4 linked regions of the Struthio camelus genome follow. The protein of the gene in region 1 purifies or fractionates together with the protein of each later gene. This does not show direct contact. Links are inferred from orthologs where the notes say so. Each region holds a gene or a part of one and is shown in the gene's direction. Other genes may lie near its edges.

Evidence for each region.
Region 2: the proteins of CAPZA2 (region 1) and TNKS1BP1 purify together in Homo sapiens (affinity purification with mass spectrometry; 4 studies listed by BioGRID and IntAct, counting the BioPlex papers as one, with this or other methods). This does not show direct contact. The link is inferred for Struthio camelus from reciprocal best matches to the Homo sapiens genes CAPZA2 and TNKS1BP1.
Region 3: the proteins of CAPZA2 (region 1) and TWF1 purify together in Homo sapiens (affinity purification with mass spectrometry; 3 studies listed by BioGRID and IntAct, with this or other methods). This does not show direct contact. The link is inferred for Struthio camelus from reciprocal best matches to the Homo sapiens genes CAPZA2 and TWF1.
Region 4: the proteins of CAPZA2 (region 1) and MTCL1 purify together in Homo sapiens (affinity purification with mass spectrometry; 3 studies listed by BioGRID and IntAct, counting the BioPlex papers as one, with this or other methods). This does not show direct contact. The link is inferred for Struthio camelus from reciprocal best matches to the Homo sapiens genes CAPZA2 and MTCL1.

The regions. Positions count from the first base shown.
Region 1 is NC_090942.1:29,001,460-29,008,769, reverse strand, and holds the start of CAPZA2 (F-actin-capping protein subunit alpha-2), read left to right. Parts: upstream 1-4,302; 5' UTR 4,303-4,392; coding exon 4,393-4,431; intron 4,432-7,310. UniProt on the Homo sapiens protein: F-actin-capping proteins bind in a Ca(2+)-independent manner to the fast growing ends of actin filaments (barbed end) thereby blocking the exchange of subunits at these ends.
Region 2 is NC_090946.1:7,563,467-7,570,476, forward strand, and holds the start of TNKS1BP1 (182 kDa tankyrase-1-binding protein), read left to right. Parts: upstream 1-4,006; 5' UTR 4,007-4,146; intron 4,147-4,978; 5' UTR 4,979-5,025; coding exon 5,026-5,122; intron 5,123-5,327; coding exon 5,328-5,973; intron 5,974-6,800; coding exon 6,801-6,873; intron 6,874-7,010. Other genes in the region: FACT complex subunit SSRP1, read left to right, coding at 272-442, 810-901, 1,078-1,261, 1,633-1,701.
Region 3 is NC_090942.1:34,630,629-34,637,987, reverse strand, and holds the start of TWF1 (twinfilin-1), read left to right. Parts: upstream 1-4,347; 5' UTR 4,348-4,457; coding exon 4,458-4,482; intron 4,483-4,995; coding exon of another isoform or gene 4,996-5,402; exon of another isoform or gene 5,403-7,359. Other genes in the region: TMEM117 (transmembrane protein 117), read right to left, coding at 4,996-5,402. UniProt on the Homo sapiens protein: Actin-binding protein involved in motile and morphological processes. Inhibits actin polymerization, likely by sequestering G-actin. By capping the barbed ends of filaments, it also regulates motility.
Region 4 is NC_090943.1:116,633,759-116,641,079, reverse strand, and holds the start of MTCL1 (microtubule cross-linking factor 1), read left to right. Parts: upstream 1-4,305; coding exon 4,306-5,190; intron 5,191-7,321. UniProt on the Homo sapiens protein: Microtubule-associated factor involved in the late phase of epithelial polarization and microtubule dynamics regulation.

The DNA.
Region 1 (7,310 bases):
AAATGTAATTTCATTTTTCTGCATTGTTTATCTTAACTGTTGGGGTCAGTGCAAAAGGACAGGAGAAGTATGCTCTCCTAACCCCCTCTGCCAAACTGACCACTTGCCAGTCATCAGGATCACTTTAGCACAGAAACCGCATTTCTCCCAAACCATTTTCACGGCTCTGCAGGGAGGCCTCACAGGAAGGCTTGCTGTGCTCTTCCTCCCATTGTAATCAAGGGCCAGGGTTCTGGACCTACAAAGTCATACATAGAAATGGAAGAAATAGTAGTGCAAAATATCAAGGTACAAGACTGGTAGATCTATCATGTTTGCTTAGATTAATTAGAACTCAAAAAGAAGTCTTTTTAAAATCAATTTGTTTTCTCTCTTTCTGTCAGTTAACCACACACTGCTCATCAGATAGGTTTGGCAGCCCACAGTGCGTTTCACGTAGTGTGACTAGACATCTATTAAGACATGAGCTAGCTAGTTAACAATACTGACGATATTTTGCTATACTTTATGTGACTGCAGTGCACATGAACTTTTCATTATTGTGTATAGACACTAGCATGTGAAAAACATAGCTGATGTGGGTGAACTTTATAGCAAAAAGATGAGCATGGCTAACTTTCAGCCAGTAGATCAATTCAGAATTGAGGTATTCAGAATTCAGTAAAGAGGTATGACTTCATATAAGATGCAGATATATTCTAAGCTAACTTGAGTATCAATGCTTCATCCTGCAGTCACTGAAAATAAATCATTTCCTAAGTCACCTCTTAGTCTTTTCTTCAATAATCTCCTTAATTGGACCTCCTTAAGCCTCACATCCTGAAATTTGTTGTATATCCTCAGGATCATTTTTGGTCTTCCTTTAAACACTCTCCAAGATTTCCACATTCTTTCTGAAAAGGCACACCAGCCCTTCACAACAACACTGAGTCACAAAGCGAGAGCCCTACTTAATCCTGCTGAATTACTGCTTTCCCATTAAGTCCTAAGGTCACATTAAAGCACCTGCCAGAGTGCCACATTGAAGATTCCCTTTAATATCTGTCGTGACTGCACAATTCTTCTCTAAGTCATTCACATCATCAAAGCGATTGCAGCAAATTTCAAGAAAAGACTCTGTGCAAACATTGTACATCGAATAGCCAGATATGTCATCTTAACGGAAAACTACTCATGTTTGTATGACAAGATCTACCTTATTGAATGAACCTCTTTTTACATTTTAAATATAGCAGTTTCCATGGTATATCCTAGTAACTGGGAAATCCCTAAGTTTGTTAAAAAATAACATGAGCATTTCACAGAGCTCTTCAGCTATTTACTCTAAGACTCTCGGGTGGAAGTTATCAATTCCTGCTTGAAACTGTTCAACAGATGTTGCTCATCGCTTCCTCCTGCTACAGACCACTAACTTTTATCACTGAGTCTAAGAAACATTATATGAGATGTTCCAAAACCAAATACCCATAGACCATGCCTTTTCTGCACTAGTCTTCATCATTTTGCATCTAGCAATGGCCTTATCAAATATAAGGTTTGCTTGCCCATTATTTTGTTCCTAACATGTCCGTTGTCTTTATCCTCAGTAACTACAGATATTTTATATATCTTTTCAACTTTCCTGAATAAGCCACATTGTCTAATTTGTACATTCATTGGTTTTTACTTTTATATCTTTTGTTTATATATTGATTTATGGTGTCATCATAATTTCCACATACCCCTTTGACTGCAATGACTTCTTGTCCAATATCACTTTCTTTCACTTGCATGCAACGAACATTTTAAGGCACCTAGAGTGACAGCCTTGAAAGATTATACAAATTTGGGGAATATTTTGCTATATTGCATGTGACTACATCAACTATTGTGTATGGATACTCATGCAAAAAAAACACATCTTGTGGATGTACTTTATAGCATAACAAGATCTGTCGGCTAGAAGTTGGCTACATTCACACCATTAATCATGCTCTACTCACATGTACCTTGGCATCTCTGAATTTTCAAGTCAATGATCAGCTCTTCTTTGTTCACCTTGAAGTACACCATGCTTGACATTAAGAAACTAATATTTTATAAAGATTAGCAAAGAGTTATTACTGGACATACAATCCTTCCACCATATTTCCTTCAGTCTGAAGTAACAGTAACAAAGTTCCTTACATATTAGGAGCAGATATTTAAGAAGTTCACCTCACTCTCTAGCAAGATTGGGTGGTCCACAGCAGACTATCTTTCACTGAATGAACTAGAACTTCAATCTACAAATAATTAAGAACCTATTCTTCTGAAATGTCTCTGACCACTACAGGCCTCTCCAGTATAATACACTAGTCCTTTTACTCTTTCTGTCCTTAGGACCAAGGTCTGAACTATTGATTTCAATAGCCCAGGCACAAGACCTGACCAAATAATGTTGTTATACTAATCGTATCATCTTTCTCAAGCTCCAAATTGTCTTGTGCATTTTAGGTTCCTAGCATTAATGCACAGTAAACTGCAGGATGTATCCTTTACAAATAACTGGGCTCATTTCGTAATGCTTTGGAGTTGTCATATATTAGCATGTGGTGTAAGGATATCTCTGGCATTAGTCTCCCCTTTTCATTTTATTCTCTCAGCTGCCCTTGCTAGTTTATCATCCAGGAAATTGCTACTCATACTAGTAAGATGAAGACTATAGCCACCCAGTTCTATTCAGTTTATTCTACTGTTCCATAAAACCCAAACGTCCTACTTGGCTAAGTTAAATACTTCCCACGTACTTTCTACTTCTGATCAAGGAAGAGGAAGGAGTTCTTGAACAGGTCATCTGACTGTTCTCCTCCTTCGGTTTCTTTTTTAGGCCTCTAAAATTGTTCAGCTTCTGTACAGTGGAGTCTATTGCTATCGCACTGTTGCCAGAATGGATCATTATTAAAACAGCTTCTCCTGCTTACCTGTTTTACCAGTCTGACCTTATGTTTGCTCCTGTAAGAAAACAAAATTTCCTGCTGTCTATCAGACCCTTGAAGAATAGTTTGACAACCCTTGTTAGGAGGGAGTCACCGAGGAGGACTGTCTTCCTAGCCACAATACTGGCAGCTGAGGAAACATTCCCAAGAAGTATCAGTATGTATTTGCCTTGTTTTTTCACCATTCCCTGGGCACCTGCTACTGGTCACACTGTTGGCACAGGTTATTGAATTTCACTCGTCCAAAATCCCCACTGCTAGCTACACAAATGTTCTCTTTCTTCTATTACTGCTTTTCTCTAAAGTTTGTTTTATTACCTCTTCTTTCAGTCAGTTCTTAAAAGCCATCATCTTCAAATATCCCTCTGGGCACCTGCAGTTCCACGCAGCCAGAAGATATTCTTCAGGTTTCTTATTTTGGTGGTAAGAAATTTCCAGCCTATCTAAAGGTTTCTTATTTTGGTGGTAAGAAATTTCCAGCCTATCTAATGTTGTTTCTTCTGGTTAACTACACTCATTTTATTCATCCAATCCAAGAGTACCAACCACTTTACAAGGTCGACTTTCTCGGTCTTTGCTGTTGGCACCGAACGGAACTTTCTGAAGTTTCTTCCAGCAAACTTCATGAAATTCCAGCAAACATTCTGTTGTTTGAAACTTGCCTCCATGCAAATTCCCAGCCCCGCCCCCTCCTAGCCATAGGAGACGCTAACCCGCATTAGGCATGCTGCTGAGCGGATGTCAGAAATCTGGCAATCTGTAGTTCTTTCCACCCACACAGACTTCCAGTGGACTCATTCAAGTGACTCACTTTAGCACCCAGGAAAAGCAGGCGCGGCGCGGGCCGGCGCGCTGCTCGTCCCTCACTCGGGGGACGCTCAGCGGGGCGCAGCGCCCCGGGGCAGCCCTCGCCCCCGCGGCCGGCCCACCCAGCGCCCACCACCATTTGAAACAGGCCAAGTCACAGCCCAGGCTGGACCCACAACTCCGGCCCGCCCGAGCGCCCCCGGCCGCGGGGGGCGGGGATGGGGACGGCGATGGCGGCGAGGGCTGCGGGCCTCCTCTGTCCCGGCGGCCAGCGCCGACCGCAGCCGCACCGCCACGGCGCTGCCCTCCGCCTCCCTCAGCGCCGGGCCCCCCCGCGGCCCCTCCCGCCCCACGGCGGCGGCCCAGGCCAACGCTAACAGCGTGAGGCCCGGCCCGGCCCGGCCCGGCCGCCCCCTCCCCTCCTCCGGCCGCCCCGCAGCGGGACCCCCGCCCCCCGGCCCCGGGCTCGGCCCCGGGCCCGGGCCAGGCGCATGCGCAGTCACGGCGCCTCCCCAGCGGGCCGCGGTGGGGGGGAGGGGGCGCGGGGCCCCGCCCTTCCTGCCTGGGAGGGAGGAGACGGGGACGGGGGCGGCGGCCGGAGCGGCGCTGTTCGGAGCCAGACGGGAAGATGGCGGACCTGGAGGAGCAGCTGTCCGATGAGGAGAAGGTAGGGGCGAGCGGGCGGGCCGCTGCGCCGCAGCCGAGCCGGCGCGCCCCTTTTGCCTCCTCGCTCCTCGAGCCGCGAGGCGAGCTCGGCCCTCGCCGTTTGGGGTCGCCAGCAGCCGCGGCGTTTCGTATTTTTAGCTTCTCCCTGCGCCGGGGCCTGTCAGTCAGGGGGGCGGGAGGAGGGTCGGCGGGGGCAGGGCCGCGCCGGGCATCCCCCGCCGCTCCTTGTACGGTGCGAGCCCGGCGGGCAGGAGCCGGGCCCGGCGGGGGGCGGGATCCGGTGTCCGGCGGCGGCCGGCAGGGCAGGGCAGGGCGGGGAGCGGCCGCCGGGCAGGGGGCCGAGCGGGCACCGCAGAGAGAGGGGGGGGAAAGCCACGCAGGGACCGTCCTCTGCTCTGCTCTCCCCTCCCCTCCCCTTCCCCCATCTCCACTTCCCGTTTCTGCGGCCCCTTCCCGGTGCCAGCTGGCCGCTCCGGAGCGCCAGCGCTGCTCCCCGCCGAGGGGGGCTGTGCCCCGGCCCTAGCTCCAGCGCAGGCCCGCGGTGTCGTCGTCCCCTCGCTCACCTCCCGCGGTCTCCGGGAGGAGCTGGGATACGGGAGATCTGGGGGAGGAGGTCGGCGCTGGGGGTGGGCAGCCCTGTACTTCCTCTTAAGGGACAGCAGTTGGGGAAGTCTGAGGTCAGGGAGCAGGCGGTTTGTGTTAACGAGCTGCGTGCAGTCTCTGCTTATGGCTCTTGGAAACGTCGTCAAGTTTAAGACGGATTTTCCTGAAAATCTCTCAAAGAGTGGGGTGTCTTGTAATACCCCGATTATCAGTGCTCCTTATCTTCTGTTGGATCCAGGGTCATGGCAGTTGCCTGCTTCAGAGCTAGGGTGTGGTAGTTTGTGTACATGATGGTGCACTGCCCATATCTTTATGTAATGCATGGTGTCATTTATTTCTGATTAAAAACATAGGTTTATATGGCTGTAGAAGCTGTTGAGATGATTTAAACGTGGGAGACATCAACGAAACAATGCTTTACACTTCTCTGAAGTTAGAAGAAGGATGTTTGAAATGTCTAATTGGTGGTGACAACAAGGCAGGCTTTCTGCGTGTTTGAGGTTAACATTGCCAAGTTTCAGAACAAGAGATGCACCGATGTGCTAAGAGACACATAGCTTCAGGATCTCGCTAGCCCAACATGAGGCTTTAAAACTGTGTCCTGCTCTACCTAATTCATATTCGAATACCATCTCTGTGTTGGTACGAGTAGGAATGTAACCAAGAAATATATGTGGCAGTCCATTATTTTGTCCTGTAGGAACTTCTACAAAATAACTCTAATCCATTGTGTTGTGGATAGGGAGTGTACTTGAAAAAACTTTTAGTCAAAGTTATTTGTGGTACTGTAAGATACAGTGACAGTTCTATTTTGCCTCTGTATAAACTGAGAAGCACTACCCATGCTTCTGTGACTGTTATAGTTAAATACAGGACTTTCTTCTGTCCATTAATTGCAGGTTCCCTTTTCTCCCAAACCGAGTGCAAGCCTTCTAGAGTCTCTTTCTGCCTCAGCATAAGCGAATGGAGTCTGCACTTTTCCACTGTAAACTTAAACTGGCCACCTTGTCGAGTGCTCTGAGATCAGTGAAGGAAATCTTTTGTCTCCCATGTGCTCTATAAGTGTGATCTTTCTTACCCCTTGGTCCAGTCTTAGCTTAATGTTTTTCACTGTCTCATCTTAGAAGAAAGCAGAGGTGCAGTGCTCTCCTACCTCTTTGAAGTTTTAGCAACCCCGGCCAAAAAAAATAGCCCCTTTCTCCCCCACCCCGATCCTGCTAAATGCCAGCTTTACGGCCTTTTTTTCTTTTTCTTTCCCTTTTTTCAGTAATGATGCTATTAATTCCTTTGTCCACTTCAGTCACATATAAAATTGATTGTCCTACACCATTGGAATTTTCCAAGCCTGGCAATCTATTTAATTGGCTAATAAAACAAAGATGGGCAGTGCTGCAAACTCTTGCAAAAGCAGGAAAATGTCCATGCAGAACTTGTGATACCTAAGGATTTTCCGTTTCCATGGAAGAGGTGCTTGCAGTAGCTTCAGTTAATCTGAACATTTTAGAAGGTGTGTCAGGTTTAATGTATTTATCCATTCTAAAACAAGTGTTCACAGTGTACTGCAGCTCCCACCCGGTGTTCAGAAAGACTAGAGTCCTCAAAGTGTTGCGGACTTGTTTATGGCCTTATTTATGTTTACGCTTTGCCACTAAACTTATTTTGGATAGCCTTTTATTAATCTATTTGAAAGCACTGGTATATTGAAGTTCTGTGCTTTTTTACAGTACAAGGCTATACTGCTTAAACGTTTAATCCTTTTCTGATGGTATTAAACTGAAATCTAGATGAATGTGCACTATAAGTGGTTTAAATAAAGACAGTCAGTTTACAGTAAAGTTGTTTGTTTGTTTATTTCTCCTGAAAGTCACCATAATCTTAAGTGGACAGATTTACCCTCTATTAGGCTACTAAACAAGCACTACATAAGGAAAGAAATTTAGAAATACATATTCTTACGGCATGTCTTGGAGATGTTGAACCAAATTTCCTCAGTGTGCCTAATTGCTCATGTCTTAATTGAAATCTGTTATGAATGATGCAACAAATGTTTTTGAAATTAAAACTTGTCTAGCTCCGTACATGTTCAGTCATTCACTATTATGGAGCTAAAAAATTCTACTGAATAGCTTTTGAAAAGCACACTCTTCTCACCTATCCAGTTGGGACTATAATGCAAATTTAGGAGTAGAGGTAGACAAATGTTTATTTTTCAACAGGAACAAATCACACTGCTCCTCTCTACACTTGTCTCCCCCTGGTGTGAAACAGACTAATATT
Region 2 (7,010 bases), on another chromosome or scaffold:
GTCCCTTCCAAAGGGTTTGCGGTGCCTGTGCCTGGCAGGTCCTTTTGATTTTTGGACACCTTGTCTCCAGCAACCTGCCCAGTGGGTGCTTTGAGTTGTTGGAGGCGTGGCCTGACAACCCGTTTCCCCCGACGGTGTAGTGGTGGGCTGAATTACCGGTGGGATATAGGAGGCACGCTGAGACCTAGCCCTTTGTCTTGGGGCAGCCCTGAAGTCTTTAGTGAATAGCGTTGCACGAGGCTTTCATGCTTGTTCTCTCCCTCCTTCCCAGAGCAAGAAAGGGAAAGACCCCAATGCTCCTAAGAGGCCGATGTCAGCTTACATGCTCTGGCTGAACGCCAACCGCGAGAAGATCAAGTCAGACCATCCTGGCATCAGCATCACAGACTTGTCTAAGAAGGCTGGGGAGCTCTGGAAAGCCATGTCCAAGGAGAAGAAAGAGGTTAGGCACACAACGAGGAGGAATTTGCGAGGGGCACCTGGGTTGCTCTGCTGGTGGGGGGAGCTGATCCATGTCTAGGAGGGAGAGGCTGGACGTTAGGAAGGAAGCGTGGCAGGCCCTTGGTTGGTCTCAGGAACCTAGCACTCCATAAACAGGAGGTTAGAAAAGAAGCGTTGCAGTGCGGAGGTGATGTCTTTGGGTTGGGCAACTGCTGGGCGGGCACAGTCTTGACCGAGGTGGTGAGCTGTGTGGTGGGAGTGCTGGTGCGCTGCGGGTGGGGACAGTGTTGGACTCTGGCGGTGCAGATGATGGTGGTGGAGGACTGGATGCGGGAGAAGGCGTTGCCAACATTGTGCTCTGGCTGCAGGAATGGGATCGTAAGGCAGAAGACGCCAGGAGGGACTATGAGAAGGCCATGAAGGAGTACAGTGTGGGCAGCAAGTCAGAAAGCTCCAAGACGTGAGTGGGCTGAGCGGAGAGGGCTGGTAGGGGGAGGTGGCAGGGCTTTGCGTCTCTGAAATCTGTCTGTTGTCCAGCCATCGGGGTGCCTGGGGTTGGGGTGCGTGGGGGCAGTATCCTTGGCTGCGGGCTGTCAGCAAGGCAACGCTTCTCTCCCTTCTACCCTCCCAACACAGGGAGCGGTCTAAAAAGAAGAAGAAGAAGCAGGAGAAGCAGATGAAGGGGAAAGCAGAGAAGAAAGGTGCAGCCTCCAAGTCTTTGTCCTCCACCAAGTCCCCTGCCAAGAATTTGAGTGAGAGCTTCAAGAGCAAGGAGTTTGTCTCCAGTGATGAGAGCTCCTCTGGAGAGAGCAAGAAGGAGGTATGGCTCTTCCACTTCTGTTGGCAGGCTTGGGTCCTCTGCCCCATCTTCTCTATGGTGCGCTCCGGTCATCTCTTTGGGAATGGTACACCCGTCCCACCTCTACAGGGAGCGCACCCCTCTGGTACGTCTTGTCTGTTGTTCGCTCATCTCATCCCTGTGGGAGTGGCCCCTCTGGCCCGTCTTTATGCTACGCGCAGGCGGCCCCTACGGGTCCCATGGTGGAGGACGCGCGGGCTCGGTGCTGTTGACGCCTCTGCCTGTTCCCAAGGGACAGCAAAGCCCCCCGCCATCACCCCGACCCACCTCGGAGAGGCAGGTGAACAGGAGCTGCCGAGGTACCGCTGTCCTAACGTCCTCTCTTGCCACAGGACTCGGAGGAGGAGGGAGTTGCCAGCCTGCCCCCCAGCTCGGAAGATTCTGTGTCCGGCTCGGATTAGCCCCGTCCCTGCCGTTTCCAGGCTGGTTCCCAGGTCAGCGAGAGGACTGGGACGGGCCGGCCCGCGTCAGGGGCCCAGATCTTGGGCTACAGCCGGCTCTGAACCCACCTTGCCTCGACTTTGAGTCCTCCTGCCCGTACCGCCGGGGGCAGGGAGACGCAAGAGCAGGGTAGGCAAGCCCTCTCCCCTCAGTGCCTGGTTGGGGGAGCGAGACCCCATCACAAGGAGGCCCAGGAGGGGCCTCAGTCTCACCTCAGCCCTGTTTCTCACCAATTTATTTTTTTTAAATACTCGGGTTTGTTTCAGTCTCTCTCTCTCTTTTTTTTTTTTTTTTTTTTTGTATTTTGGGTCCGTTCACGTGGCAAATCAGATTGAATAAAAAAACCCCACCGAGGGAGTGAGTGTGGGTGCGGAGCCGGGGGAGGCAGAGGGAGCAGGGTGGGCTCCTTCTTCCTTCCCCCCACAGCGGCACCCCGGGGCCGGGTTGTGCCGCGGCTGCTTCCTCGCAGCTGCAGCCGGCAGGGGTCGAGCTCCGTTTTGTCCTTGAAACGGGGCCAGAGGCTGAGCTCACTCCCTGCCCGTCCATTAGCAGCCCCGAGCCCCTCCTTCGGCCTCCCTAATTCCGTTAAGGAGCCATCAGGCTCCTAATGGAGGCCCCACGGTCGATCCTGATGCAATTCAGCGGAAAGCATGGGGCCCAGGGCTCCTCCACTCCCCGACGCGGGGTGGGGTGTGGGGGGGTGCTACAGCCGGCCGCTCTGGGCCTCGCGTCCCCCCACGGAGGGTCGGGGATGGCGCCGAGTGCTTGCACGGCCGCCCCAGCCCCTCTTGGCCCCTGGCTCCGCTGCAGAGGTCGGGGGCTGATCCGATTAGCGCCTCTTCTCCGGGGCCATCCATTACCGTCTCTCCGCTCGACCTGTTGCGGCCGCTTCCCGGTCTAGGCTGTAATTCAATCGCAGCGGGCTGTGCGGGGACGGGGCGAGGCCCTCACCGCATGCTTATTTACCAGCACCGCTGCGCTGCCGCGCGCGCTACCCTCGCGGCCAGGGGAGCCGGCTGGTTGCAGGGAGAGCGGGGTGTTGCAGGCCGGCTGTGTGCTGCCGCTGGGTGTGAGGGGGCTGACCCGAGAGTGTGGCTGTAGTTGGAGGGAGAGGGGGAGGGTGGCCGTGGGGCAGGTGGCTGTCCCGCGGGGTGGGGGGGCTGCGACTGGAGCCCACCCAGGGTCCGGGTGGAGGTAGCACACCAGAACCCTGGCCCAGAGGGTCACTCTCTATGGTACGGACAGGTGGGCAGGAGGCCCTTCTAGCCCCATTCTCTATGGCACGTACCACCCTGCTCGCCAGCCCCCACCAGGGTGTAGGCGCAAGCTGGGGGTCGGCAGCCCCCCCCCCCGCCGACCCCCCCCTCTTTTATGGCGCCGGCGGCTGCTCCACCCCCGCCCCATAGTGCCCTCGGCTTGGGGAGGGGGAGAGGCAGAGGGCCCCTCTGGCCGCCATCTCTATGGCAGCCGGGCGGCGGCTCCGGCCCTTCCTCCCGGCGGCACACGCGGGCGGGAGGCGGTGGCGGCCACGCGGCGCCGCGGCCGCTCTAGCCCCGCCGCGCTCTATGGCGGGGCGGGTGACGTCGCGGGCGGGGCGGGGCGGGGCGGGGCGGGCGCGCGCTCATGAATATGCAGCGCGGCGGCGGCGGCGGGTGAGCGCGGGCGGGGACGGCGGCGGCGGCGACGGCGACGAGGGGGGGGGCGACGGGGGGGGTGAGCGGAGCCGCGCCGGGCACCTCCCGGTAGGGACGGGGAGGAGGAAGGGGGGGGAGCGAGCGGTACCGGTGGGGTGGGGTCGGGTGGGGCGGAGCCTCCCCCCCCCCCCGGGGAGCTGCGGGACCCCCGGGGGCTACGGGAGCGGGGGGAGCCCCGGGAGGCCGTGCTTACCCCCCCCCCACCGGGCCCGCTAGCCCGGCCCTAGTGGCCCCTACGAGGGCAAATCGAGCAGGGGCTGCGTTGCCAAGGCGACGGGAGCAGGCCGCAGCCGGGGTGGGGGGAGCGGGGCGCTGGGGGCCGATGGTTTCCAGATGTGTGTGTGTGTGTTTGTCCGTGTTCCCCCCCCCCCCCCGGCTCTGGGGGGCCCGCAGCGAGGAGGAGGGGGCGGCCGAGCCCAAAAAATCTGGCGATGGGGGTCCCCCCCCACCTCACCCCAGCCATCCCACCGCCCAGGGCGCGGAGGGGAGGGCAGCGCAGGGCTGGGAGGAGGAGGAGGAGGAGGCAGCAGCAGCGAGAGCGAAGCTGAGCGAGTTTTTCCTGTCCCCGCAGCCTTCGTGAGTCACTCACGCGAGCTCCGGCCAACGCCAGCGCCATCCCCGTGCCAGCCTGGGGGCCGCCTCCCTCTGCGGACCTGCCCCGAGTCCCCCTGCTCCCCGTCCCAGCCCGGACATGAGGCCGCTGCGGGGAAGGTGAGTGTGGCCCCCCCCCCCCCCCAAACTGGCCCAGCCGGCAGGAGGGGTGGGACGGGTTGGCAGCGCGCGGCGGAGGCCCCGTGTTTGCAGGGTGTGCTACCGGCAACCCGGGGCTTGGCGCTGAGAGGGTTGGCCTGGGCGCAGCGTGGGTTCGGCGTGCTGCGGAGGCCGTTGGCACGGCGCCCCGGGGCAGCCGATAAAGGCTGACCGATGGTTGGCACGCTCGCCGGGTGTTGGTAGCGGCGGAGGGTAGGCCTGGCATCTCAGAGGGGGGCTTGGTACAGACTGATTGGGGCTGGCATGCTATATGCAGGCGGGTGTAGCGTCTGGGGGGTTGCCACAGGCTAACTCAGGCTTGGCACGGGGTGCGGGAGCTTGCTGCAAGTTCATCGAGGGTGACACGCTGCACGTGGGTTGGTACAAGCTGCCTGGGGGTGGCACATGGGCTGGGCGGGGGGGGTCAGTGCAGCGTCTAGGGGGTTGGTACAAATTAGTTGGGGGCTGGCATCGTATTTTGGGGTTGGTACAGGTTAACGGGGGGATGTCGTGCTGTGTGTGGGTTGGCACAGTGTTTGGGGGGGGGTTGGGACAGGTGACTGAGGAACTGGCATGGCCTTTGGGGACAGACTTGGGGTTGCCGCAACATTTGGGGTTACGGCCCTGTGCCACGGTTGGTACGAGCGAGCTGGGGCTTGGGGGCAAAGGCTGGTACGGGTGAACAAGAGGGTTGGCGGGGTGACAGTGGGGTTCCTTGGGTGCGGGTCCCACGGACATCAGAGCCCAGAAAGGCGATACGAGCGCCTTCCTCGCAACACCTCTCTCTCCCCAGGGGCTGACCGCGCACCGAGTCTGCTGAGCCTCAGCCCACGTTTCGCCATGGCCTCCCAGCCTCAGCCCCTGCGCCCCCCGTTGCCCTGCGCCTCCGCCAAAGGCAACGGGGGGGCCGGGCTGGCAGCAGGCAGCCCCGAGAAAGGTACGTCCCCCCACGCAGAGAAACGGGGTTTGGGGGAGGCCAGTCCAGTCTGCAGCGGGCCTTTCCCCTCTGCGGGGGCCAGGGCAGGGGAGGAGGACGGGATCCAGGCTCCCGTCCAAGGTCTACCCGCGAGAGGAGTTTGCTGCTCTCGGCTCAGAGTAGTAACTTCTCCCACACGCTGTTTTTCTCCTCGTGTCTCTCACAGGCAACGCTCGCCCCAAACCGCCTGTCCGGCCCAAACCTCGTGTGCTGCCCAAGCCAGCTGTGCCTGCCAAACCTTGCCTCCCGCACCCCCCGCCGGGGCCGCGCCACCCTCGCCCCGAGCTGCCCTCAGCCGAGAAGATCAACCGCTTGGCGGGGCCCAAGCCGTACACCGGGGGCGGCTCCGGAGGGGCCCTCAAACGCCCTTCCTTCAGCCTCAAGTCGCCCGAGACCCCCAACGGGAAGGGGCTCCCGTCCCCTCCGCTTTCAGCTGCTGGGGACGTGGGTTCGACCCCCGCTGATGAGCTCCCCCCGGCCCCGCTGACACCCTCTCGCAAAGGCCCGGCTCCCTTCAAGGTAACGCCGGTGCCGGTGGCAGCCAAGCTGGAGCGATTCCCTGGCACCACCGTGGAAGAGATCCTGGCCAAGATGGACAGCAAGGAGGGTCCGGGAAGCCCCGACCGGGCCCGGCTCTCTCCTTTTTGCCCCGATGTCCCCTCTCGCTTCGGGTCCAAGACCTTCACCGCCTTCCGGAGACGCCCCAGCGGGGAGGCGGATGGAGACGCCCCCGGTGAAGCCCACCAGGCACCCCAGCCCGCTGGGGGTGAGCTGGGCACGGGGGATGACGGTTGTCCGATCCCCGAGATGAGGTGAGCGGCCGGGGCCGAGTCCCTGGGGGCGAGAGGGCCACGGGGAAGGGGTACGACGCTCTGAACGGTGCCGGAGACGGAGTAACGGGGATCGGAAGAGAGCTGAGGTCTGGTTCCCAGCACGAGGATCGTGTTTCTCCTAACCAGACAGTGCCTTGAGCTGCCTTCGTGGGAAGGTTGGGTCACCCACGACAGCTCTGGGTGGTTTTATTAAAACCACAGGAACGGGCTGTCCCAGTTGAGGAACTGCTTCCACGCTTGCAACCCTCTAAGGGCTGGGACCCGAGCCAGCCGGCCATCCCGCTGCCCGAAACAGGGGCCTCCCTGACAGCGCGAATAACAGGGGTTGCTACCCCTGGGAAGTGCTCCCTTTTTCCCACCCTTGCTGTTTTTTCTCCTGCCTGCCTACGCCGAGGCAGAGAGAGCCTGGATCTGCGGGACTCCTGGGTGCAGGACGTCCTGGTTGGGAGCCAGCGCTTGGCTGCGCTCCTCAAAGCTGGGCACCTCCGGGAACCTATTTAAATCCCGAGTGTGAGAAACTTGTTCTCCAAAGGACAGAAACTTTCCAGAAAGGGGATTGCTGCTGATATTTTTTCCTCCTCTCCGCTGCAGTCCAAAAAAAAATTCCTGATGATTCAGTGCCTGTTTCGGGCACTGCTTGGAGCGGGTTTTGGGCCTGTTGTGCTTCACCCGCTCGCTGCTTGACCCCTTCCTCCTGCGGGCAGAGCCGGACGGTTTGGGGCCGGGAGGTGCGGCGGCTGGCGGACGGGAGAGGAGAGCAGAGGCGTGCGAGGGATTTATCCCTTTTCCTTGTTTCTCTTTGGCAGCGGCTCCCCCCCAGCCGGCCCGAGCTGTGCCGGGGACCCCCGCGGACGCTGGAGGCCGCCTTCCCCCCCTGACGTGAGTTCTCGCCTCGCTCTCCGGCGTCGCGGCGGCTCCGCTCCTGGGCTCTCTCCTTCGGGGCTCTCCTGTCTCCTCCGGGGCTCCCTCTGTGCGGGGTGCGTGTCTCTCCTTCCTCCTTCGGGCGAACCGAGGTG
Region 3 (7,359 bases), about 5.6 Mb from region 1:
AGCATCATCTAAGACGATTCTTAAAAGTCATCCTAAGCACTCTAAGCACAAGGGAAACGTCTTTGACCTTGTCACTAATAATTTACAAAGCAAACACAGGTTTTAAATAATTAAAGTAATTTTTCCCTTTGGAGAGAAAAAAACAAAACTAAGAACCACAGAAATGCTAGTCATACTGTTTAATGCACTTCTGGAACGCATTCAGATAACACATCATGGAGGCAGAACAAAAATCCGAAAAGCGTGACCCAAAAGGTGACTGGATTCCAAAGCATTTTTCACATTAGGTAATCACGACTCTCAGTGTAACTCTATGAAAGAACGAATCACATTTGAAGAATTCAGTGATTTAAAAATCACTGAGGACATGAAACAATTTGACCGTCACGTTACCCATTACACTGTGAAGGTGCATAAAAATTGCAGGTGCCATGACTATTTACAGATTTACCAGATCAGAATAATGGCTAGAAATGGACAAAACTCATAAACCATATTCAGAATGAGCTCCTAGATAGCGTCAGGAAGCACTTAACAGAAACATGTAAGAAATATCAGAATTTCCACCAATTGTTCGTCATTCAGTTTATTTTGCAGGGCATTTGCTTCTTGTTATCAAAGTGTACCAAAACATGACAAGAATCAAATCTCTACAACTTCTAGGATAGCAAAACCTATTGCTACAAATCTGTTATCACCTATTGGCAGTGGTTAGAAAGCCTCCAGTAACTTAAAACTTGGCTATCCACTATATTGCAATTCAGCTTAAAATAGCTGTCTACCTAGCATGTTCCTGGCCACCCTGGATCCTGGCCACTGTTTAAGCAGCCAGAAAGAAAAGCCTGTCTAATTATGAATTTTAAGGGACAGGGGTTAGATAGTTTACTTGCTCATATTTATGAGAAACAAACAGAAATACCTAAGAGCTTACAAAAATGTAGAGCTATCTTCACAGTGCTATACTTACTAAAGTACACAAAGTGAGAGCTGTCCTTTATACTGTAATAAAGAAACATTTGCTATAATGGCAAGAGAGCATTAATTTCTCTTATATATACATTTAGCAAAAGATGAATAGCAGTATTTCTTCACAGGTAGGTGACTACCCATAACTTTTAGCCATTACAAAGAAATACCTTTCTACTTGATTTGAACATAGTGTGATGTGGTGGTTGATTAGAGTTACCTATATTGAGACTTACGCAAGCAAGCACTGGCATGCTCAAAGTCCATTTTGATGTGCATAAGAGCACCTTTCACACATATCCTCGAAGTTATAATCAAATCTGACTGTAGGAGAGAGTGTGATTTCTTCGTTTAGTTACCTATGGGTGTATGGGAATAGGGCTACTTACGGTAAACAGAGTTGAAGTTTTGACGTATTTCTGAAAGAATTAAAGAAACAGTAAAAACTGCCAAAAAAAAAAAAAAACCCCAAAACCCAAAGGTCACGCAGAAAATACTATACCAAAGTCTAGTAAAAATATTTCCTTCTTGTAAATGTTGTGTATTATTCAGTTAAAAGAATCTTACTACAATGTGGGCTGTTCTGCAGTATGCGCTTTCTACCAAAACCATCACAGCCTTAACCACGTGCAAAAACTGATGTCTACTGGAAAAAAATGAATTCAAGTACAGGGAAGAATATGCAACTTATAAGAAGGCAAAATAATGCTAATAAATAAATATGCTAATAAATAAACCTCTGTATTCTTATCCTGAGACTCTTCATAATGACTTGTGATTTGGATAGCAGTTAATAAGACTCTGAAGCACACTAAAATTCAGAAGTTTAGCATAAAGTTCTTAAAATTCTTAAACATAAAATCCTTGCTCAGTTTCGCTTGTCTTTCTGGAACATCTCTCTTCTTTGTCAAACATGAAACACTGTAATATAGGAACATATTTTTGATATTCAGATTAAAAAAAATACTTTTTTTGCCTTTTTTCCTATTAAACTGAATATGAAGTCTACACAGTATTAGTTCCAGTGAGAAAAGAGCACCATTTCAATGCTATTCTTTTTATTGTCATAAAGAAATAAAATCTCTTCCAAATCTGCCAGTGTATACAAGCCTTCATTTTTTTAAGTTTCCTACTAAGCAGATGTCAAAATTCTACTTCTGTACTTTACTGCCCATCCACTTTCTGTACTGTACCCCTCTGACAGATTGGTTGGATCGATGTGATGTCACCTCAGATAGTCAAGGTGATCTCAATTTGGTGACAGATACTGTAGTCTCATATCAGTCTAACACTTCCAGTCTAAGTGTGGGCTGCCGTTGAAAGCAGAGTCCCACAGACTTGGCTGTGCATCCTCATTACCACACTGTGGCAGTACTAGTGCTCCTGGGGACACATGAGCAACTGGATCAAGGAACTGATCTGTCTGAAAACTTTTCCCTCAAGAGACATTCAGCCAAATCAGTCCTTCACAAACACTAATGCCAACACCTGGGAGGAACCAAGAACACAGGATCACGATTTAAAGTAATTGTGATAGTGTCCCATCTTTGGTTGCCACTCTGACTGGAACTTCAATGCTTTCTTTTCTTTTGGAAAAGCTCTTGTCCAAGACTTGCTTTAGCTTTTAATGACCTTTGTGCTGGGAGGCTTATAATAGAGGAATTACAGCTGACTTCACTGTTCTCTGGGAGGTATCTGCTGTCTCTCATCTCCTGGTTTCATGTGAAGTCTTTTCCCTCTCTCAGCCTTGTTGCTAGAAAAAAGATAAACTGCAGCTTTTCTACTTCCCCAGCTGCTGCAGCCCTCACAGTTAGTTCCAGCTCTCCAGTGGGTGAGACGTTTCCACAGTGACTTCTTACTTGCTGGACTAACATCACACAGTAGAGCTCATATACTGCAATTACAATGCTAGTTGCCATTTCCCAAACGGGACACTGACTCCCTCATCTGGTGTCTTCAAACCGGGGATGTGACAAAGTGTAGACAAACACATCTACCAACACAAATAAATCCGTTTAGAAATCCCTGAGTTGACTTCAGAAATCCCTGGAAAAGTATACCAGAGAAGTATATGCTTGCGTTATTCTTCTTTTCTTGCCTGTGCCATTGGTGGGGAGGGATAGACTGCTGGGTTACTTCCTTGTATGCCTTGTTACAGCATTTTTTATGTTCTCATGTTGACTAGTGACCCATAAAACCCCTGCTAACTCCTTATGAATCTGAAAGAACATCAGCATCAAGACTCAATTAAAGTGCCTGCAGTCCTGCTACAGCTACAAACACCTGAACATTTCACCTGTGCAATCTAATCCAGACCACAACACAGATTAAAAACACTGGCTACAGCACAGAACACAGAAGCCACTCTTAAAGAAGAGGAAAGAAGTAGTACCCATCTTTTTATCATCAGAGGATGGTGGTTTTCAGCCTGTGGACCCAGGTGCCTGTGTTAGGTAACTATCAAAAGCAAAGCTACATCAGAGCATGCTTAAATTCACTATACTTGGCTCTCTTCCAGTGGGAACTTTAAAAAAAGAAAGTTTAAGAAAACTTTTTCCACACAAGTCAAAAGGTGTAAAAGCCATTGGTCTTGTGGGTAGGCAATGCACTGAGAAGTAGATGCCCCCCCACTCCTGCATTCACACCTTAACAAAAGTGTCTCAGAAAAGTGTCTCAAGCATCAGTAACACGGTGAAATAGAGAAAACCTTTGCTATTCCTGTTGAAGCTGTGCCACCAAGTAGCAAATAAAGCAAAATTAACTGGAGAAAAAGAGTGACTCCCCCATGAGGAACAACGGCTCGAGTGGAGAGAACGGTGGTTCTGGGCTCTGTTCCCTCATCTCTGAGCAATTTATTTGATGACTACTTAACACAAATTCTGCAAAACACATCAGCAGCTTGGTGTCCTCCTTTTTAAGTTCCCTTGTGGCCCTTTCCCTGCTGCCCCAAGCAAGAGCTACAGCTCTCCGCGGCCGACTCCTGCGGACCTCTGCAGTCACCTCGGTAATTTCCCTGTAGTTGGGAGACCCCGCGGGGCCTCGTCCCCGGGCGCTAGGGAGGAGGCCGCAGGAGCCCGGCCGAGCTGCGATCCTGCCGCGCCGCCGCCGCCGCTGCCCCCCGCCGGGGGCGGCAGGACCGGCGGGGCGCCCTGACCACGGCCCCACGGGGCGAGCGGTCGGCGAGGCGAGAAGATCCCGAACAAATCATCCCGGGCATGGCCGGGCCGGGCCAGGTCGAGCCGAGAGGGGCTCCGCGGCGGAGCCTTGCTCTAGGGGGCGGCAGCAGCAGCGGCGCCGCCCGCCGCCGCCGTGGCCCCGGCCCCAGCCCCAGCCCCAGCCCCGGCCGGCGCCGCGCTCGCCGCCGCTGAGTGGCGCGGGCGCGTCACGTGTGCGCGGCCGGGCCGGGCCGGGCCGGGCCTCGGCGCAGTGCCCCGGGGCGCAGCGGCTTGCGGTGCCGGCGCGGCGCGGCGCGGCGGGTGCGAGCGAACGACATGTCCCACCAGACCGGCATCCAAGGTAGCCGCGCGGCTCGCCCTGCCCTGCCCTGCCCTGCCCTGCCCCCCCTCATGGCACCCGCCGCCCTCTCCCTCTTGTGCGCTCCGCTGGCCGCGGGGCAGGAGGCGAGCGGGGCCGTGGCCGGCGCGGCGTCGGCCGCGGGGCAGGGCGGGGAGCCGGGGCCGCCGCTGCGCGGGGGAGCGCGCCCCGCGGCCGGGCTCTTTGTTCGCTGCCGAGCGGGGCTGCTTCTGCCGTGCCGCCTTTGTCTGGCCGCGGGGTCGCGGGCGAGCCGAGCCTAACCGGGGGGGGGGGGGGGGGGGACGCTGCTTCGGGCCGCGGCTCTTCGGCGTTTCAGCCTTAGCAAGGGCCGGCAACGTCGCGTCTCGCTGCGAACTTCCACTGCTCGATGCCGCCGCATCACGAGTTAGCAGGCGACTTGTGGGTTTTATTTATTCGGCTAACCACAAGAAGAAAGGTAGACAGCTATTCAATGCAAAAGGAAAAAAAAAAACCCTATACTGACGTGGAAGATACCTTTTGGCTCGAGTAACTTCCTGTAGCAACCTGTGCCCGCTGCACCTTACCGGAGGTTTTCCTGCTGGGGGTGGGCGGGCTGCTGGAGCCGGACCGGTGCCCGCCGTCGGGGGGTCCCGCCGGGCTTTGGCGGAAGCTGGGGTCTGCTCAGCGCCGCTGCAGCTAGGGCGAAACGGCTCGGACAGCGCCGACAGTGCCGAGAGTTGCTGCCCGGCTCCTTGCATGGGAGAAGCGCTGAGAAACAGCAGAGAGACAGAAAGGGAACTGCGAAGAACCAGCGATCCAGGATGAGGGAAGCCCAGTAAAAGCCCTGTTACAGGAGGCTGTGGAGGGGGGAGGTGTGGGGGAGCCTGTTTTCCCCTGCTTCCCGGCCATGGAGAATATGAAGTGCAACTAGAAGAGGGCATGTTATTTCTCAGTATTACCAGGGCCCTTAAATCACAGAATGAGTAAACAAGGATTATACCGCAGGATTAAGGGGGTTTTCAGTTTGTGTCTTGGTTGCCGCAATCTGCTTGTTCAGTGACTAGTACGGTGTACTTTGCCTGCTCTCCCACTTTTATTGTTGAAGGCGACTTTTGTACCTGCTGTGGGAGCTCCTAACTACGCTTCCCCCTGCTTTGTTGTCCGTTTGCTATGTTTGTTAGACACCTTTTCTCCTCTCCTTTTCCTTTCCCTGCATCAATTTTTGTTCTTCTCGTTTCTCTTAAGTTCTTTGCCCCTTCTCAGACCTGAGGTGCATCCAGAATAGCTTTTATTTCCAGACTGGGAAGGACTGTTGCAGTGGCTCACGTTCCCTTTTTCTCTCCTTGGTGTTGTTGGAGGGAGGAGCAAAAGAATGATCCTGTTGCTCCCTGCAGGAGCTGAGGAGCAAGAAGGGTGGCCAAGCCTTTTCTCCTTCATGTCTCCGAGAATCTTTCTGTTGTCTGAGGAGAGCTGCAGAGGACGCGGGTGGTTTCCTGCGCTGCTCCTGTCTCGGCAGGCTGGGACGCAGGGCAGCCCGCTAATCAGGGACCCTGTTTGCCGCGCAGCATCCGCTTGCCTCTCGGCAGGGCTGCGGCGTGGGAGACGAATAGCACTTGTTGTGCCATTGTGAGACTGGCCGCTTTAGCTACGGGCAGGCTGGTGTCCCTGAAAAATAATGGCAAGGCTTGGCAGCATGGACTGGTCTTTCCTGGAAGCTGAAATCGAGTAGCGGGAACCAGTGATGCTTCAGGTGTCTGATACGTACCAGGCAGATGCTAAAGGGACTGGACTTTCAAGCAGGGCAGTAATAGTGCAGGGGATCACAGAATATTCGCTTGCATTGGGCTGTGGACAGTTGGCCAGATTATGTTCCAGATTATGTCTGAAGCTTACTAAATTATTTTTAAATAAAATTTGCTGTAAAATATTTGTGCCGTAAACCTAATTGTATTTTAATATTCTCTACTCCAGATGAGTCACTTTGAAAGTTCAGCAGAACAAATCTACGTAGTTGATACATGTATATGTTTACAGGCAGTTAAGTGCAATCTTCCGAAGGTCTTAACCGGATCTTCTACAGGACTGTTCAAGCGCTGAATAGTTTATTTAATATGAATTTGCTTGTTGAGGAAGGGAGCGTGTCTCAACTTGTCTATCTTAAAGTTTTGTAGGTTGCATATTTTTAAAAATCCTGTCTAGGATAGTGCTGAGACAGCAGATCATGTCCATTCCTGGTAGGGTAGGGCATGTGGAGCTGGATACATCCAGTGTGTTTCTACCCAAGTATCTTAATTAAGCGCTCCTATTAGCAGAACTCAACTTCACTAGTGGAAGCAGTAGCGTAGATGAAGAAAATGGATGTGTTTATCATCACGATTTTTTTTTTTTAAAAAGAAATTTAAATTAAACTACAGACTACACAATGAGATACAAAAATTGTAATTCTATAAATCTCAACTGTGCGGGAAGTTTAAGCAGAAAATAGTACCATGCTGTTCTGACTTTTAAAGCCTTTGCTAAAAAATTCTAGATCGCTTGTTAGCAAGAGAGTTTCTCAGATGCTGGTGTTTTGTCTTCAGCTGTTACTTCAGGAGCTGTTACAGTTCTGGTGTCGGTGCAGTAGTGACTCCTGTGCTTTGGTCTTGTTTTACTGTGTAGGCTCGATACTAGAGAATAAAGAACAAAAGGTAATAGGCAAGAAGAGGACAAAAAAGTCCCAGGAGAATCGGAAGGTCCAGAAAATGTCAAGATATTTGTGTGTGTGCTGAGTGGGCTTATGTGGAAAGGCAGACAATTAGAAAAGTTGGGAGTAAATTAAACTGAGGGTCAGCACTGGTTAACGGGAGAACGCTAACTGAGATAAAGCTGGTGTGGGCCTGGTAAACCCAGTGAAGTTAA
Region 4 (7,321 bases), on another chromosome or scaffold:
TTTGTGCAAGTACAACTTGGTTATCAAAAGTCTGCATGTATCAGGCAAAGGACATCGGCATTGCCAAAATAAATTTGTTGTAAAAGTGTTATGTCTGATTATTTGTATTATTCAACCACCACCCAGACGTCCTATTATGTTAAGAGCTGCACAAGGCTGTAAGAAACTGTTCCACCACCAGGGATGTATGACTAATTTAAGATAAGAAACAACAATTGGACATTAGAAGCAAAATAAAAAGAATGGGAGAGGAGAATTAGGGTAAGCGTGACAGGCAGTCTGTGGTGGCATGCTCCTGCATGAACCATTAGTGAGTTTTATGTAAGGGGAGAAATGGTTTGATATAAATAAATAAGAAATATGATACCTGTATTCCTTACTGGGCATTTGCCTAGCCCAATAGAGATTTCTGTGGTATGTACTTAGCTTTCATATTAGGGTATTATTCTCACTCACACCATGCCCAGTTACACCACTTTTTTAAGGATCTCCAAATGGCACTGCATAGATAGCAGAGGACAGAGGAACACAGCCAAAACACTACAGCTGGGCTCGTACCACAAAAATTCGCCATCTGTATCCAGCTAGGCACCTGCCCAGCAAGGGTTATTGATACTGCATTTCTTTGTTATTGAACTCTTTATACTGCTAGAGCAATATAAAGGGATCTTAGTGTGACTGAGCTTTGGTCTCAGTCTAATGTGTGTTTTCCTGTTTTACATTTCCAGTTCGAATGTGATTTTGTTTGAGTATCAATGTAAATAAATCACTTGCTATGATGCCTAGTTGAACTGATGCTGCCTCTGAATGCAAAGGATAACAAACCTTGCTGTATACTTCAGTGAAAGGAACACATACAGAATACAAGGATAAATGTTTATAGAGGTATCTGATCGCCAGTCCCCTTGCTAGTCTAAGGTCACCCTGCCAGATCTTGGGCCTTTAGTTATTCTGAAAGTAGATTCTGGGCACCTTCCCAGTAAGTCTGACTGAGTTGAGGTCCTCCTTGTCTTTGTCTTTTGGAACTTGTGGCCCATAATGCACAGTGATATAACAAGACACCTTACAAATAAAGCATTTAGTAGCTGAAAGAAAGCATTTAGTGAAAAAAGGGTCATAAAATAACAACAACAACAACAATCTGTATGCATGTGTTTACAATGTAAAATTTACAAGGTAACCTAAGCAAACTGGACTCTGCCAGGCACTCAAGTGTCACAGATTAATTCCCCCAGATAATTCCCAGCCCTTTGTGAATGTGCTCTTTTCTCAACCTTCCTAAGTCTTTTCCCCTCCAGTGGCACTGTCTCTCAACTATTGTTTGTAGAAAAGTGGCTTATCTTGAGCTATACTTTTTCCTTTCATTTTCCTTTTGAATTGAACTTTTGTGTTCATGGAGCAACTATGTCAAAACAGAATACTCATAAATTATGACAGAGCAGTTCCTCTTCCATCATAAGACTTAGAAACATTTAAAATCTAGTAGGTGAAGCTGGAATTCCTGTCTGTTCTTAAAGGTTACAACAAAAAGCAAGTGAGAGTGAACGTACTAGAGTAAAACAACCTTTATTGTATCTATCATCTAGGGTGACATGTATAATAATTAATATTACTTAAGATGAAATACAGCAGCCATCATCTCTTTCACTCCAGAAATTTAGAAAAGGAGGATTGCTCAAATCGCACAATAGTATGTTGCCGAACAAACCAAGAACACAACAGCTTAGCAGAAAAGACTGATACATGCAGTAGTCTGACAGAAATGCCATGGCATTAAAATGTAACAATAGTGTATATTTTATAAGCTGTTCTTCTAGAGAAAAGTCTAGCAGAGCTGCTTCGTATTGCTTCTATAGACTGGTCTTCTCATCCAATTAACAATCAATTATTAGTACTGTACACCGAGGGAGAAAAAGTGGCTTACGCTTGACAGCAGGCTTGTTGTGTTCTCCTTTCCTCAGAGTACTTTGTATAAATGGTAAAGGAGTTGGCCCCACACAATCTGCCTCATATCTATACTATACGTACAGACAGGCAGCAGCAAATGCAATCTTTGCCACACTGCTCAAAAATACTTTGCCATGTGACCTAAAAAGAACATTTGGATGAGGGAACTTAACTGACCAGCAGCAGTGCCAATCAGGGAAAACTGTAAGCTGTAGCAGAAGCTACATTTGTTAAAGAGAAAAAAAGAAAATCTCTCCATGCTCTGTGGCAGAGTTTGCTCTCCTGCCCCAGCCACTTGTAGAAGGACCATGCCACTCTCTTGGGGCAGCCAACCCCTCGGTGGGGGACATGTGTGACCCCAGGATGCGCCCCCAGCTCTTCAGCCCCAGGTCGGGGGCTTTAACCAAAGTGCTGGAGCCCTCGCAGGCGTCAGGCACTGAGCGTTGCCCCCGGGATGCAGGGAGCCGCCGAAGGGCTGGTGGTTGCCGAAACCCTGTCATCAGGCAAGCTCACGGGGCTGGCATGTTAACCAGGGAGGTACTGAGGAGCCGCTCTTAATTTCTGGAGACCTGTAATACAGTTCTGATTTGAATAATTTTTCAGCACTATAGCTTTTACAAATAATGACTACCTGTTGCATACTAATAGGGTAGCATCTGTGTTGCTCTTCAGCAGGATACATCAGTTTTGCCCACTAAAACTTCTCGTTTACCAGGACAAGAAGTCCCAGGATACCAGCGCCGTCCCAGTTCTTCCCCAGACGAGCTGACTGGCCCATTTCAGGTGACTCTGCGCATTGGACCTGGCTGCCACCCCGAGACCAGGTTTCAAACCCTTTCCCCAGAGCCGGATGCTGACCTTACCTCAGCCCGCCTGGACTGTTTTTGTAATGGTATCTAGTGCCCTCAGACTTCAGCAGTCCCAAGGGCTTTTGCCTTTCAGGGTAATACTTTGCACCTAGACGAGCAGGGTGGGAGACCCTGTGTGCCCAAGGGTGCTGGCACGCCACCCCCCACTTGGACTGCACTTGCCCAGAGCATGCCGCAATCACTGCTGTTCAGACTCAGATGAATTAAGCCTCCCAATAACTTTATGAGACAAGCATGCATTTACCATCTTTCTTTGACAGATAAACGTCAGGGAGCCACCGTGGCTTGTACAAGGTCTCACTGTGCTTGAGTGGAGGAGTCAGAAACACCCTGACTGTTGCCGTTGTGCGTTACCCAGTTAGGCTGTGCCTCTTTCCCACGCTTTAGCCTCTCCTCCCTTTCATGTGTTCTTCGAACGCTTCGCAAATTTAAGGTCTTTAATTTCATATCCCTGTGCTCCAGAAGGATAGGTCCGTGCCTTTTGTAGTTTAGCCACAGCCAGGAACTTGCTGATTCCCTCAGATACTCAGCCCTGCCTCTGGGTGAACCTGTGCCTGCCTTAAGCAAAGATATAATGCGGTGACTGTTGTTTTGTTGCTGCAGATCTCTGGAGAGAGGGTTTTCGTGGAGTCTTAGCTTGGAAGGGAAAAAAAAATCAACACGCAACGCTATACAGCTCATGGCTGGGAAATTAAGATGTTGCCCCCTCCCACCCCCAAATCAGGCTTCCTTATAGGAAGTGACTGGCAGAGGCGCCCCTACAACACGGCATGCGGGGAGCTCGAGGAAAGTAGTTTGCAGCGAGAGCAGCTTGGCTGGCTGACAGAGGGGGCGGATCCTGCGCACAGGCGGGGAGCGCCGCGCCGGAGCGGCCCCGGCAGCGGCGGGGCTATTTCAGGAGCCGGCGGAGGCGGCGGCCGGGGCCGGGGCGCGCCGCGCCGGGGCCGCGGGCACCGACCGGGGAGCCATGGGGTTAGCCGCGCCGGCGGGCTGAGCGAGGATTTGCGAGCGGAGGCGAAGGCAGCCGGGAAAGACTCCTTTGCATCGGATTCGAGGGAAAAGGGAGTCGTTTTCTTTTTTTCTTTCTTTTTTTTTTTTTTTTTCGGGCTGCATCACAACTTGAGCTGCATCGAGGCGAGCCAGGCAGAGAGGGGAGCGGGAGGGGAAGGAGAAGGAGAGGGAGAGGGAGGAGGAGAAGCTGCCGCCGAGGGACTGGGATTCGTTTTATTGAAACAAATCAGTGCTCGGGAGAGAGGGAGCGAGGGGGAGGAGGGGGAGGGCAGGACGAGGGGGATCGGGAAAGAAAAGTGTGAGGGCTGTGGCTGGGAGAAGCAGAAGTGATGAGAAAGCAAGCGGGGAGGCTGGAGGAGGCTGCTCGTGCTGCTGCGACCGGGCTCCGCGGGCACCGCCGCTCCTGCTGCCGCCGCCGCCGCCGCAGCCGGGCGCCCCCGCGGCCGCCGCTGCCGCCCCGCCGCCCCCGGCCCGCGCCATGGAGGCGCTGAACGGCCCCGGCCCCGGCCCCGGGGACACGCTGCGGCCGCCGCCGCCCAGCCACCACCACCCGCACGCCGAGAAGAAGCGGCTGAACCGAGCCCCGTCCCCCGCCAGACCCTTCCTCAAGGACCTGCACGCCCGCGCCGCCTCCGCCAAGCCGCCGCCGGCGCCCCCCAAGTCTCCCAGCCTCCCCGGCCGGGCGCAGCCGCCGCCACCGCCGCCGTCGTCGCCTCACGCCGCGGGGCTGCTGGCGGCGCAGGGCCGCCTCTCCCGCCGCCCCGCCGCCCCCGGGGCCAAGGCGGCCGCCGCTGCTGCCGCTGCTGCCGGGCGGGCGGCCGCCGCCAAAGCCGCCCCCTGCGCCAAGCGGGCGGCCCGCGGGCCGGAGCCCGGGCCCGGCGGCCGCGGCGGGGGGCGGCAGCCCGGCGGCGAGGCGGCCCCGCCGCCCGGCAAGGGCAGGAAGGCGAAGCGGGGCGCGGCGGCGGGCAGCGGCCATGCGGCGGCGGCGGCGCTGGCGCTGGCCCGCGTCAGCCACACGGACAGCAGCTCCGACCTCTCCGACTGCCCCTCCGAGCCGCTCTCCGACGAGCAGCGCCTGGCCCCGGCCGCCAGCAGCGACGCCGAGTCCGGCACCGGCTCCAGCGACCGCGAGCGGGAGCCGCCCCGCCACGGACCCGCCGCCGGCCCCGGCCGCGGCGCCCCGCTGCCCCCCGGCGGCCCCCGCGGCGACCCCGCGGCCCCGCTGCCCGCCCCCCCGGGGGCCGCCGCCGCCGCCGCGCCGGGCGGAGGGCGAGCGCCGGGCCGCGGCGAGCCGCCGCGGGCGGCCCAGGAGGAGCTGCAGCGGGAGATGGAGGAGCTGCGCTCGGAGAACGAGTACCTCAAGGTGAGACCCGCCGAGACCCCCCCCCCCGCCCGGGGCAGCGGTGACTCGGGGGTGCCCGTCTGGGGCGGGGGTGGGGGGGCCGCGCCGCGGACCGCCGGGTTTACTCGCGCCCGTCGGGGCCGCTGCGGGCAGCGCGGGCGGAGGTCGGCGCGGAGCGGGGCCGTAGCAAGGCGTCGCAGGGGCAGGTAGGGGGCTTCGGCGTGTGGTCGTGTTTCTCTGCAAAAGGCTTGATTTATAGAGGCTGGATGAACGCGAGGCCGGCGCGACGGGTGCGGTAAGAGTGCTGTGGCTGGGCGGTGCGTGATCCCTCAGCCATGCCCAAACTCTTTCTGAAGCAGAGTGAGCACTCCGCTGGTTACCGGAGACCTCGCTTTCCAGGAATTGTTATCCTCAATATCACCCTTACAGGAAAGAAAAAAAAAAAAACAACTCATTTGATATCGGAAAGAGGACAGCGTCTTGTCTGTTTATCGTGTTACTTTGTCACTGAAGAGCCAAGCCATTCATTGTGAAGTACTAACGAAGTAACAATAGCAGCCGTAAAAGGAGTCTTTGCATCGTTGTACAGGTAGAAAAGCACACATATGTGCATTCAGCCTCTGAGAAAACGGGAAAGCTAAATTCAGGAGTGCTCTGAGCTGATCTGACCTGCAGAAACCTTTTGTTGGACTAGTACTTACAACATGATCTTTTGGCACAGCAAAGAGGCTGCATCCATAAAGATCTATAAATAAAATAAACTGAGATAATCATGTAACCACAGATACTGTACCATTTGACTCTGCTGCTGGTGAGGACGATCTTTGTTCTCTGAATATCACAAACACCATTTCTTCTCAAGCAAAATGACCATGGGCATCCAAGGGATTTTTGCTCTAGTGAGGACTGGAGTTTCGTAACCTTGGGAGAAAGGAGGATGGCGAAGAGGTAGACTAGGCTTGTTAAGCAGTTTTGGCTAGGAGACAAGAAACGATGTGCAGCATAGCAAAAGGTTAACAGCAGGGGTGCTGCAAGGTTCTGTGCTGTCTGGTGCTGCTTCATGAACTGGAATAAGGAGTGAGCAATGATACAGCAAATTTTTCAGATGACACAGATTTTTTTTTTGATGTGAAGTCCAGCAAAGACTGGACAGAACTCCATAGGCAGCTTAATCAGGGGAGGTGAATGGGTAAAAAGTGAAGGCAGAGGATGCGAAATAAATCTCAGTACTGAAAATTCAAAGCATTCAGAGAGAAAAAGGGCTGAATATATACTTTTCTAGGTTTTAAATGCGTTGTTTTAACTCAGGAGCATCACAGTGGAAAGAGCAATGCTCAGTGTGCAACTGCAGGTAGTACTAGATTGCATTAGAAACTGAATGGCAAAAAAGCAAAGAAAATATCATAATGTTTTATAGATTCATAGCCATTATATGCACTGGAATACTGTGGGCAGTGCTGGTCATCTAGAAAAGGATAATGCAGAACTAGAGCAATAAAAACTATTGGGGCATAGCAAAGCTCTTACAAGATTCATATTGGATAGAAGACTCTGTAGTGCACTAGAGAAATGCAATAAAGGTCAGTAAAAAGATGAATAGCGTAGAGAACCTTTATCAGAAGCTTCTGTTCTGCATGAGAGAAACAAGGGGACATGTAATGAAATCCAGACTTGTTAAAGGATTGCTTTTACAAATAGTTAAACTGCATTGGTCTTTGGGGTCAAAAGCCCAGTAATACCCAGAAGAGGAACTGGCTATCCTTTCAGATGACAGGGTTTGCAGACTTACAGTACTTAACTTTGTGAAGCAGGTGATGAACTTGGTGAAGCTGACCATTATGAAGAATGTGTTAAGCTGCTTGTTTCGTGTCCAAGGTAGTTTCTAATTATGGGAGACTTAAAAAAAAAAAAAAAAAAAAAAAAAAAGGGGGGGGGGGTTGATGTTATGGAGAATGTTACCTGCCTACTGTGAGTTTCCGTGCCCCTTCCTCTGAGTTGTCTAGGACAGGCCACCGTGAGGGTACTGGACCCCTGGTACTGACCAGAGGACCTGATCGACAGATCCTAGGTAGCGAGCTTTATTCTGCGTCATTTCTCATTTCTTGCCCTGTGTGACAGTGTCTTCAAGTCTTTCACCTTGATGTCTCCATCA